2 linked regions of the Ovis aries genome follow. The protein of the gene in region 1 purifies or fractionates together with the protein of each later gene. This does not show direct contact. Links are inferred from orthologs where the notes say so. Each region holds a gene or a part of one and is shown in the gene's direction. Other genes may lie near its edges.

Region 1 (3,887 bases):
CACACTACGTGCCAGATTAACGCCAGCTGTCACCATCCCCTCGGCCGTGGACGGCTGGCCCGGAGGGGCTTTCAAGGGTAGAGGCTCCTGGAGCCACCTAGAGGGGTTCACCGGCCTTAGTCAGGGAGCTCCCTAGAGGCCCAGTGGTTAAGACTCCGCACCTCCAATGCAGCAGACGTGGGAACTGAGATATTCGAAAGTCAGAGATTGCAGCAAACCGCTTTTGGTTGCACCACGCGGCATGTGGGGCCTTAGTTCCCCGACCAGGAACGGAACCCTGCGCTGGGAGCATGGTGTCAGCCACTGGCCCACCAGGGAAGCCCTCTGAACTCTTTCCCAACTAGGCGCTCACTTCTGGACTTCTGTGACCCCCGATCCTGCATGTCTGGTAACCGCCAAAGTCTAACCAGTTCCTCATCCCCCACCGTCCCCCAGGTGGTCTGAAGCGTCCCTGGCCTGCCTCCAGCAGGAGTTCTCCTGGGTTTTCCTGCCTAGAAACCCCCCACCCCCCTTTCCCTTAGTAATTTCCCACCCACTGACTCTGTCCTGATCTTTGGCTGTAAATCCCCACTGGTTCCTGCTGCTCTAAGTGAAAAACGTCACGTGCTGTATCAGTAAGCAAAGAATGCTGCCACCTACAAGCCGTCACATCACAGTTGCCCGACGGTGCACCCTGAGGGGACTCGGGGTGAGAAAGCACGAGAAGGCACCCCAGGAAGCTGAGGTGCACATCAAAGGAACGTGGGAAAGCGCTGAATTCCTGGAGATGCCTGGTTTTCCTTTATTAAGCAATCTTCTGACTTTCGGACTACCCGGTCTTTGTTGCAAAAACCTTATACACCCTGGCTCCTCCCTTACCTCTTCGGGGCAGTCCCTCAGTTATCTGGGATGCTGCGTCCTGGGCTCAAGTCCTCAGTTTTGTCCAAGGAATAAAACATAACTCCCGACTTTTAGGTCGTGTGTTTTTTTTCAGTCAACAGGCATTTGGGATGAACCCAGAGGGCCCCACACTGAGGTCTCTTGCGCCCTCCATCAAGGGTCCTGACTGGGACGTTTTCGGTGCTTAAACTGGCGTCCGGCCCTGCTTCTCTCTCAGCTCCCCGTGTTTCCCTGAAGGTCCTGGAACCCATGGCCAAGGGCCAGAAACCCCGTTTCTGAGGCTCCTCAACCACAGAGCTGCAGGGTCTCCCTCAGGAGGGCGCGAGGACGCCCTTCTGGAGAAGTCAGGCGCCCCTCGCCTGAGGGCCAGGGGCCGAGAGGCCCACGGGTTGGTGCTGCAGCCTCTTTCCGCAAACATGGCGCCCAGCCCTTCCCGCGCGGCGGCGCGGAACCCCACAGCGCAGAGTCCCGAGGCCGCAGCAGGAGCCGGAAGTCCCCAGGCTGCACTTCCGGCGGGGGAGGGCTCGGCGCTCGCGGGGCGGGGCCTGCCGGGGCGGGCCCGCGGGGCCTGCGTGCGTCACTTCCGGGCGCGGCGCGGTGAGCGCGGGCGGCATGGCGGGTGGCGGGGTAGTGGGCGTCCCGCGCGGCTGGAGCCGGGCGGAGGGGCTGGGCGCCCCCGGGGGCGCCGCCCGGCCCCCGCCCTCTTCCCCGCGCTGTGGTGGTTTTGCTGCTGCTTCTGTGGGACCGACGGTTTCTCAAAACGCAGAAAACGATTAAAACGATTAGTGGGCGGACCGGAGGGGCGGCGGAGGCGCGGCCCTGCTCTGCCGGGTTTCCGAGTCTGCGGCGCCCACTCCCCTGCGAGGGCGGGCCCCGGGACTCAGGGAGGGCCCTCGGGGTGGGGTGGGGCCCCCGCGCGGGGAGGGATTGTCCTCGTCTGCCTCCTCAGGGAGAAGCGTACTTTGACATCCAGCCTGTGTGTGTCTGAGTGAATCCAGAAAGTTCCGGGCGAATAAAGCCTGTGTGGGCGAACAGACAGGCTTGTGAATGGGCCAACTTGTGTTTCTCTTTTGATACCAAATAGTGTTTATTCTGGAGCTCCCAGGCTATCTGCCATTGACTGATTTCCTTTTCTGTTTTTTTCCTTAACATAAATGAAAGGTGCCATTGAGCAGACTCAGCCATGGAAGGTAAACCATTGTTGACATCCAAGCAGAAGACTGCAGTGGTGTGTGGAGTCCCCACCCAGGTGGTCTGCACAGCCTTCAGCAGTCACATCCTGGTGGTGGTGACCCAGCTGGGGAAGATGGGTACCTTGGTCTCCCTGGAACCCAGCAGCGTGACTGGCGACATCGGCAAGCCTGTGCTGACCACTAAAGTCCTCCTCGGGAAGGATGAGGTAATGTGGTTGGGAAGGGCTCCCCGTGCCCGTACTTTGTCAGGATGGGGAGCGTCTGGAGGCAAGCACAGCCCCCGTCCCCCGCCACCTCAGCCCAGGGCAGCACTGTGCGGGGCCCCCAGATAATTTGAGGGTGTCCGCCTGCTGCGTGCAGCCCGTCGGCATTTTATCAGACAGATGCACAGAGGCACTGATTCTGTAACGTAAGCCTCATGGTAATGAGTTCCTGTTCTGCCCTGTTCTGGAAAGATCATCTGTGAGGTCTGACAGGGTTTCCCTCTGTGGACTCTCACGGCCCTTTCAGTAGAGATAACCAGGAGAGAGAGGAGCCGGGAAGCTGGCCTGGGCTCCTGAGAGGTACTGGGTGAAGGCAGTTAAAGTGGTCTTCTCCCCTTGCCCTCGTCAGCCCCTCGTCCATGTCTTCGCAAAGAACCTGGTGGCGTTTGTTTCTCAAGAAGCTGGAAACAGAGCCGTTCTCCTCGCCCTGGCCATGAAGGACAAGAGCATGGAGGCGGTGAAGGGCCTGAAGGAGGTGATCCAGACGTGCCAGGTGTGGTGACGCTGGAGTGGCCACCCCTGCCGTCCGGGAGGGCCCTGCGGCAGCTCAGACACCTCGAGGCTCTGAAGGCGCTCCTTTAGTTAGGAGGAGGCGCTCTCTGGCTGTGGCCCTTGGAGCTGGAAGAAACACAGACGCCTCAGGCTGACGTTGGTTTGGAGGCGGACGGCCCCTGTGGAGGGAGGACAGGAAGCGTGTCCTGAGGCGGTTGTGCATCCTCCCCAGGTCCAGAGAGCCCCTCGCGCGTGAGAACTGAGTCACGGCCCTCAGTTGTTGGGGGATTTCTTTTATTATTAAAAATAAATGCATATCCCCAAATACCTCACCGTTCTTCTTAACGATGCTGAGAAACGTCAAGCACTCGATACGCGTTCACTTCAGTGAACAGCCGAGGGAAGGAAAACCTATTTGGCAAAAGCTCGATCTGAGGTTCATGTGGTGAGATGGTTCCAGGAGCTGACTCTGCCCCTCCCTCCTCCTCCTCCTCTTCCCCTGGCTTTTCTGATCCTTCCGCTGCCCAGACGCGGCTCACAGCCTCCTGATGGGCTGGCACCCTAGCCTCCAGAGCCGTGTGCTTAAAGGTGGAGGGTAGAGGCGCATCCCCCCACAGGCGCTGGTGCTTATGGGGGTGGCCGGGGGGCAGAAGTGCAAACTGGGACTTTAGGGGCTGCTGAGGACTGGTGATGGTGATGGTGAGACCACGCTGCTGGTCTGAGAAGGACTCGGGTGGGGTTGCTGAGCATGGGACAGGACAGCCGTGTTCAAAGGCTCGTTCCCTCAGCAGATGCTGGGGCCCCTGGGGAGGCACGTCCACAGCCCCTTGGGACCATCGGGTAAACCCGCAGGCACACACCAGCTGTGGGGTAACCCGGTGACCTGTGTCAGGAGGGCCGGGCAGTCATACAAAGGTCCAGCAGACTTCTGGAGCGGTGCAGATGCCCCTGTGTGGGGAGCTTGAGGGATCCGGAAGCCAGGCCCCCACCAGGGGAAACAGGCAGATCCATGCCGGGCAGCTCAGGGCTCTTCGGCGGCTACATCTGGTGGGGGCTCCGG
Region 2 (3,907 bases), on another chromosome or scaffold:
GGTCACTAGGTTGAAAGCCTGTAGTACTAGTGGCTGGGGGGTAAGAATGGAAGTCCCCTACACATGAATGAGTTCCCTTCCAAGAGCGTGTTAGTAAGTCCAACAAAGTTAGCCTAAGCATCCAACTAACACAATCGGCTATATAGTACTGTACTGTAATAGGTTTCTAAATACTTTTCACACTAATATATAAAAAACAAACACAAAAAAAATAAAGAAAACACTTTTAATCTATGGTACAGTACCTTGGAAAGTACAGTAGTACCAGCTACATCACCACTGCTTTAGCTCACTTCGGGATATCTTGGCCTTCAAATAAAGATACTATACTACTGTACTCTATATACTACTGTAAAGAACACAAAAGCAAAACCACTTGTAAAGGACGCACACATGTGACAATGTGAACTATCTTAGGTAACTGGACAGGGGAAGGCACTTCCCACCTTTGAAAGTTTGCAACTTTCAACTTTGAAATTTCCTATGTAGGAGACTTCCTGTAAAATTACCCTGGCCATGGGGAAACTTCAAGACCTTCCTACCAACTAAAACTCACCAACTTTTCTCAACAAACGAGCCATGGGAAGGGTGAGCTGAAGTGAATGGACTCGCTCACAGCACCGGTGCAGACGCAAGCATTTCCCAAGTTCAGTCCTGCAGGCAGTCACAGCACCTGGAGGGAAGTCTGCGCCAGAGCCGGAAGAGCGGGGAATACAGCTAACAGCCGGGCGGGTGGACAGCGAGGAGAGCCTGGGACAAACGCTCTCTGATAGGGACCCATCAAACCAGGGTTCAGACAGTCCGGCTCGCCATAAAATTACCCAGTCGACAATCTTGGGACAGGTTGACCACACGCCTTCAGTTCCGAGCGCCCCTGGCAACCACTAGCGATTTAAAACGGAAGAACGACCTTTGTCCCGCCCACCCTGGGCCACCGGAGGCCCGGCGGGTTAGCTCGTTGGCCCAATCACCTCGGCGGGAACTCCGATCAACCAATAAGAGACAGGTACGGGAGGGCGGGCTGAAGGGTGGCGAGCGCACGCGCAGCTGGGAGAGTGGCCCTGGCAGTGTGGCGGTGTGGGTGAGTTGGTTGCAGGTGGACTCGTGTTGGCTCTAAGAATCCCGGAGTAGCCACTGCCGCTTTCTCCTGCCCTTACCATGTTTCTCACCCGGTCTGAGTACGACAGGTCTGTATGGCTGGGGGGGAGGGGAGAGGGGGTCAGGTAACGGGTGGGCGGACGCGGGGCCCGGTCTGGGCCTGGGTTCTGCCGTGTCATCGGGGCACCCCCACGAACCCGAATTCTGGCCCAGCCAGGGGGTTTCCTCCCTTCCCCAGGCGTCCGCTGTGTTCTCCAAGGCTAGATTTGCGCCCATCGGCCTCAGTTGTCCTACCGCTGAGTCACTGCTGGGTCCCAAGTCGGTGCGGAAGCGTGAAGCTCCGCTTTGTGCTTCGGAAAAGAAGGCTGATGGGGCCGGAACTCTGACCTTTAACCCGGGGAAGGCCAGGAGTCACCCTCTCTCCCCTTCTTTTTGTGCTGAGTGTGACTGCCTTTTAAAAGATGTAAACGCGCTACCTGGAAGAAAAAGCAATTAGGGATCACTTAATGGGTTTGATGATTTCAGCTCCCTTTTCTTTCTAGGAGGACAGCCTCGTTTTCCGTTTCTTAGTTGTGGGAATAAAGGTGCTATTCCTTTGATTGAGTTGTAGTAGGGCGTCCTGGGATGTTTAGTTTCTGCAGAGGAGCGAAGGAAGTCTCAGCTTTGCCAAGACACAGTGTCTGGAGTCAGATTTTGTGGGAACTGAAATTTAGAGTGATTCTCAAGAGTTTTGTCATCATGCTGATTCAAATAGCCTTTTTGAATTTTTAAAAAGTTTAAGGGAAGTTGCTCTAAGTGTGTCGAAAACCAAACCTGTTTTTGAAATCAAAGCTGTGAGATTGTTGTATCTTTAAAAAACTTTCAGAGCTTGGGAATGTTAATATTAAGTTGTTCTACTTATGCTGTAGACATTTTTACTTTCAGTTTCTGTTTTGATCAGGTATGATTCACATAGCTAGCTATTAAGTTGCTTAAAAATTTTTGAGGCCAGGAAAGGCAGATGTTTTCTCTTTATTAGATGGCTTTGAGAAGCTGCATTTCTTCTCAAGTATATGTTGATCTTGTTGAAAGTCTTATCACCTAGAACTGCTACTTCTAAAAAAAATTTTTACTGACTCATAAGATGTATGTGAGGCTTTAAAACTGACTTTTTTTCTACTGTCCTATAAAATGACTTTGTTGGTCGGTATTTTCTAAAACATTGAAGAGAATCGTCTTTGTGTGATACAGTTTTGAGTAAGGGTGTGTATGATGGAAATTGTCCTTATCAGAAAACCTTTATTAAGGTTTTTGTGATCATTTACTTAACAGCTTTATTAACTGCTTCGTGTTACTCATTTTTGTATCTTCCTGCGTTTGTGTTGAGTCGCTTTACTCGTGTCTGACTCTCTGCGACCGCATGGACTGTAGCCCACCAGGCTCTTCTATCCAGGGGATTCTCCAGACAAGGATACTGGAGTGGGTTGCCATTTCCTCCTTCATTGTATCTTCATAAGAATGCCTAAAATATAGTCTGCTTGGCTAATATACTTAAATGCTTGCTGTGTACAAGGCACTGTTTTAGTTGCTGATCATATAGCAGTGAAAAAAATCAAGATCCTTGTTCTCATATGGGAGACTGTCCTTTAAAAACTACTTAACAGGAAAATTCTCTGGTGGTCCAGTGGTTAGAATTCTGGGCTTTCACTGCTGAGGGTGCAGGTTGGATCCCTGGTTAGGGAACAGATCCTATAAGCTATGAGGTATGGCCAAAAAAAAAAAACCCCGCTGTTTACAAAAGTAACTACAGTATAAGTCAGAAATGTGTTCATGTCATTAGAGAAGCTGAAATCAACACTATGGGAGTTTTAATGACAGAGGTTGCATTTGATATTATAAGGGGATTATGGAAAACTTTAGAAGGAGTTGATATTTAAACTGAGTTCAGGAGTAAGAATTTAATAAATATGCACAGTAAGAGTCAATAGTTTTGAGGCAGAGAATATAAGATGAACAGAGGAGGGGCCGTGAGAAAACACAGTTCATGTTTGAGAAAATTCTAGGCTTCTGGCACATACAATGCGCATATGGGAATAGGGAGTTCAGAGAAAAACACTGGTGCTAGGTATTGGGTGGCTTTTAATTTGAAGTTGAAGGGTTTGGGTCTTATTTTGTGCCATTAATTGTCATTTTAAGTTACACAGTCATAATTGTATTTATAGGAACTAATTGACTGAATTAGAGGAAAGAGTCAATACCGGTTAGATGGCTGTTATAGTTAGGTGAAAGGTAATGAGGGCATTGAGAATGGAAGGGAGAATTGAGTTACTGTGGGGGAGGAACTGATTTAAATTAATATGACTTGGCATATGGTTAATATGGGAAAGGGCTTCCCAGGTGGCTCAGCGGTAAAGAATCTGCCTGCCCATGCAGGAGCTGGAGGTTCATCCTTTGGTCGGGAAGATCCCCTGGAGGAGGAAATGGCAACCCACTCCAGTATTCTTGCCTGGAAAATCCCACAGACAGAGAGGAGCCTGCTGGACTCCAGTCGGTGGGGTTGCAGAGTCCAGCACGACTGAAGAGACTGGGCACTTGTGCACTAATACGGGAGAAGGGAAGCACTGAGTCAGGTCATTCAGAACTTTCTCGCTTGGGAAACTGGGAGCAGGGAGGTGTTTCAAAGTAAACAATGAAGTAGGAATGGCAGCAGGTGGAGCCGATTTCGAAAGGATGACTGGATTTAAGATTTATCAGATTGGAAAGTGTTAAGTGTTTGGTATTAATGGGATATCCATGTGGAAACACTCAGAAGACATTCAGCTTAACGAGG

What was found.
Region 2: the proteins of PSMG3 (region 1) and PSMA5 purify together in Homo sapiens (co-immunoprecipitation; 4 studies listed by BioGRID and IntAct, with this or other methods). This does not show direct contact. The link is inferred for Ovis aries from reciprocal best matches to the Homo sapiens genes PSMG3 and PSMA5.

The regions. Positions count from the first base shown.
Region 1 is NC_056077.1:41,764,662-41,768,548, forward strand, and holds PSMG3 (proteasome assembly chaperone 3), read left to right. Parts: upstream 1-1,468; 5' UTR 1,469-2,062; coding exon 2,063-2,278; intron 2,279-2,684; coding exon 2,685-2,837; 3' UTR 2,838-3,154; downstream 3,155-3,887. UniProt on the Homo sapiens protein: Chaperone protein which promotes assembly of the 20S proteasome. May cooperate with PSMG1-PSMG2 heterodimers to orchestrate the correct assembly of proteasomes.
Region 2 is NC_056054.1:86,670,946-86,674,852, reverse strand, and holds the start of PSMA5 (proteasome subunit alpha type-5), read left to right. Parts: upstream 1-1,045; 5' UTR 1,046-1,158; coding exon 1,159-1,187; intron 1,188-3,907. UniProt on the Homo sapiens protein: Component of the 20S core proteasome complex involved in the proteolytic degradation of most intracellular proteins. This complex plays numerous essential roles within the cell by associating with different regulatory particles.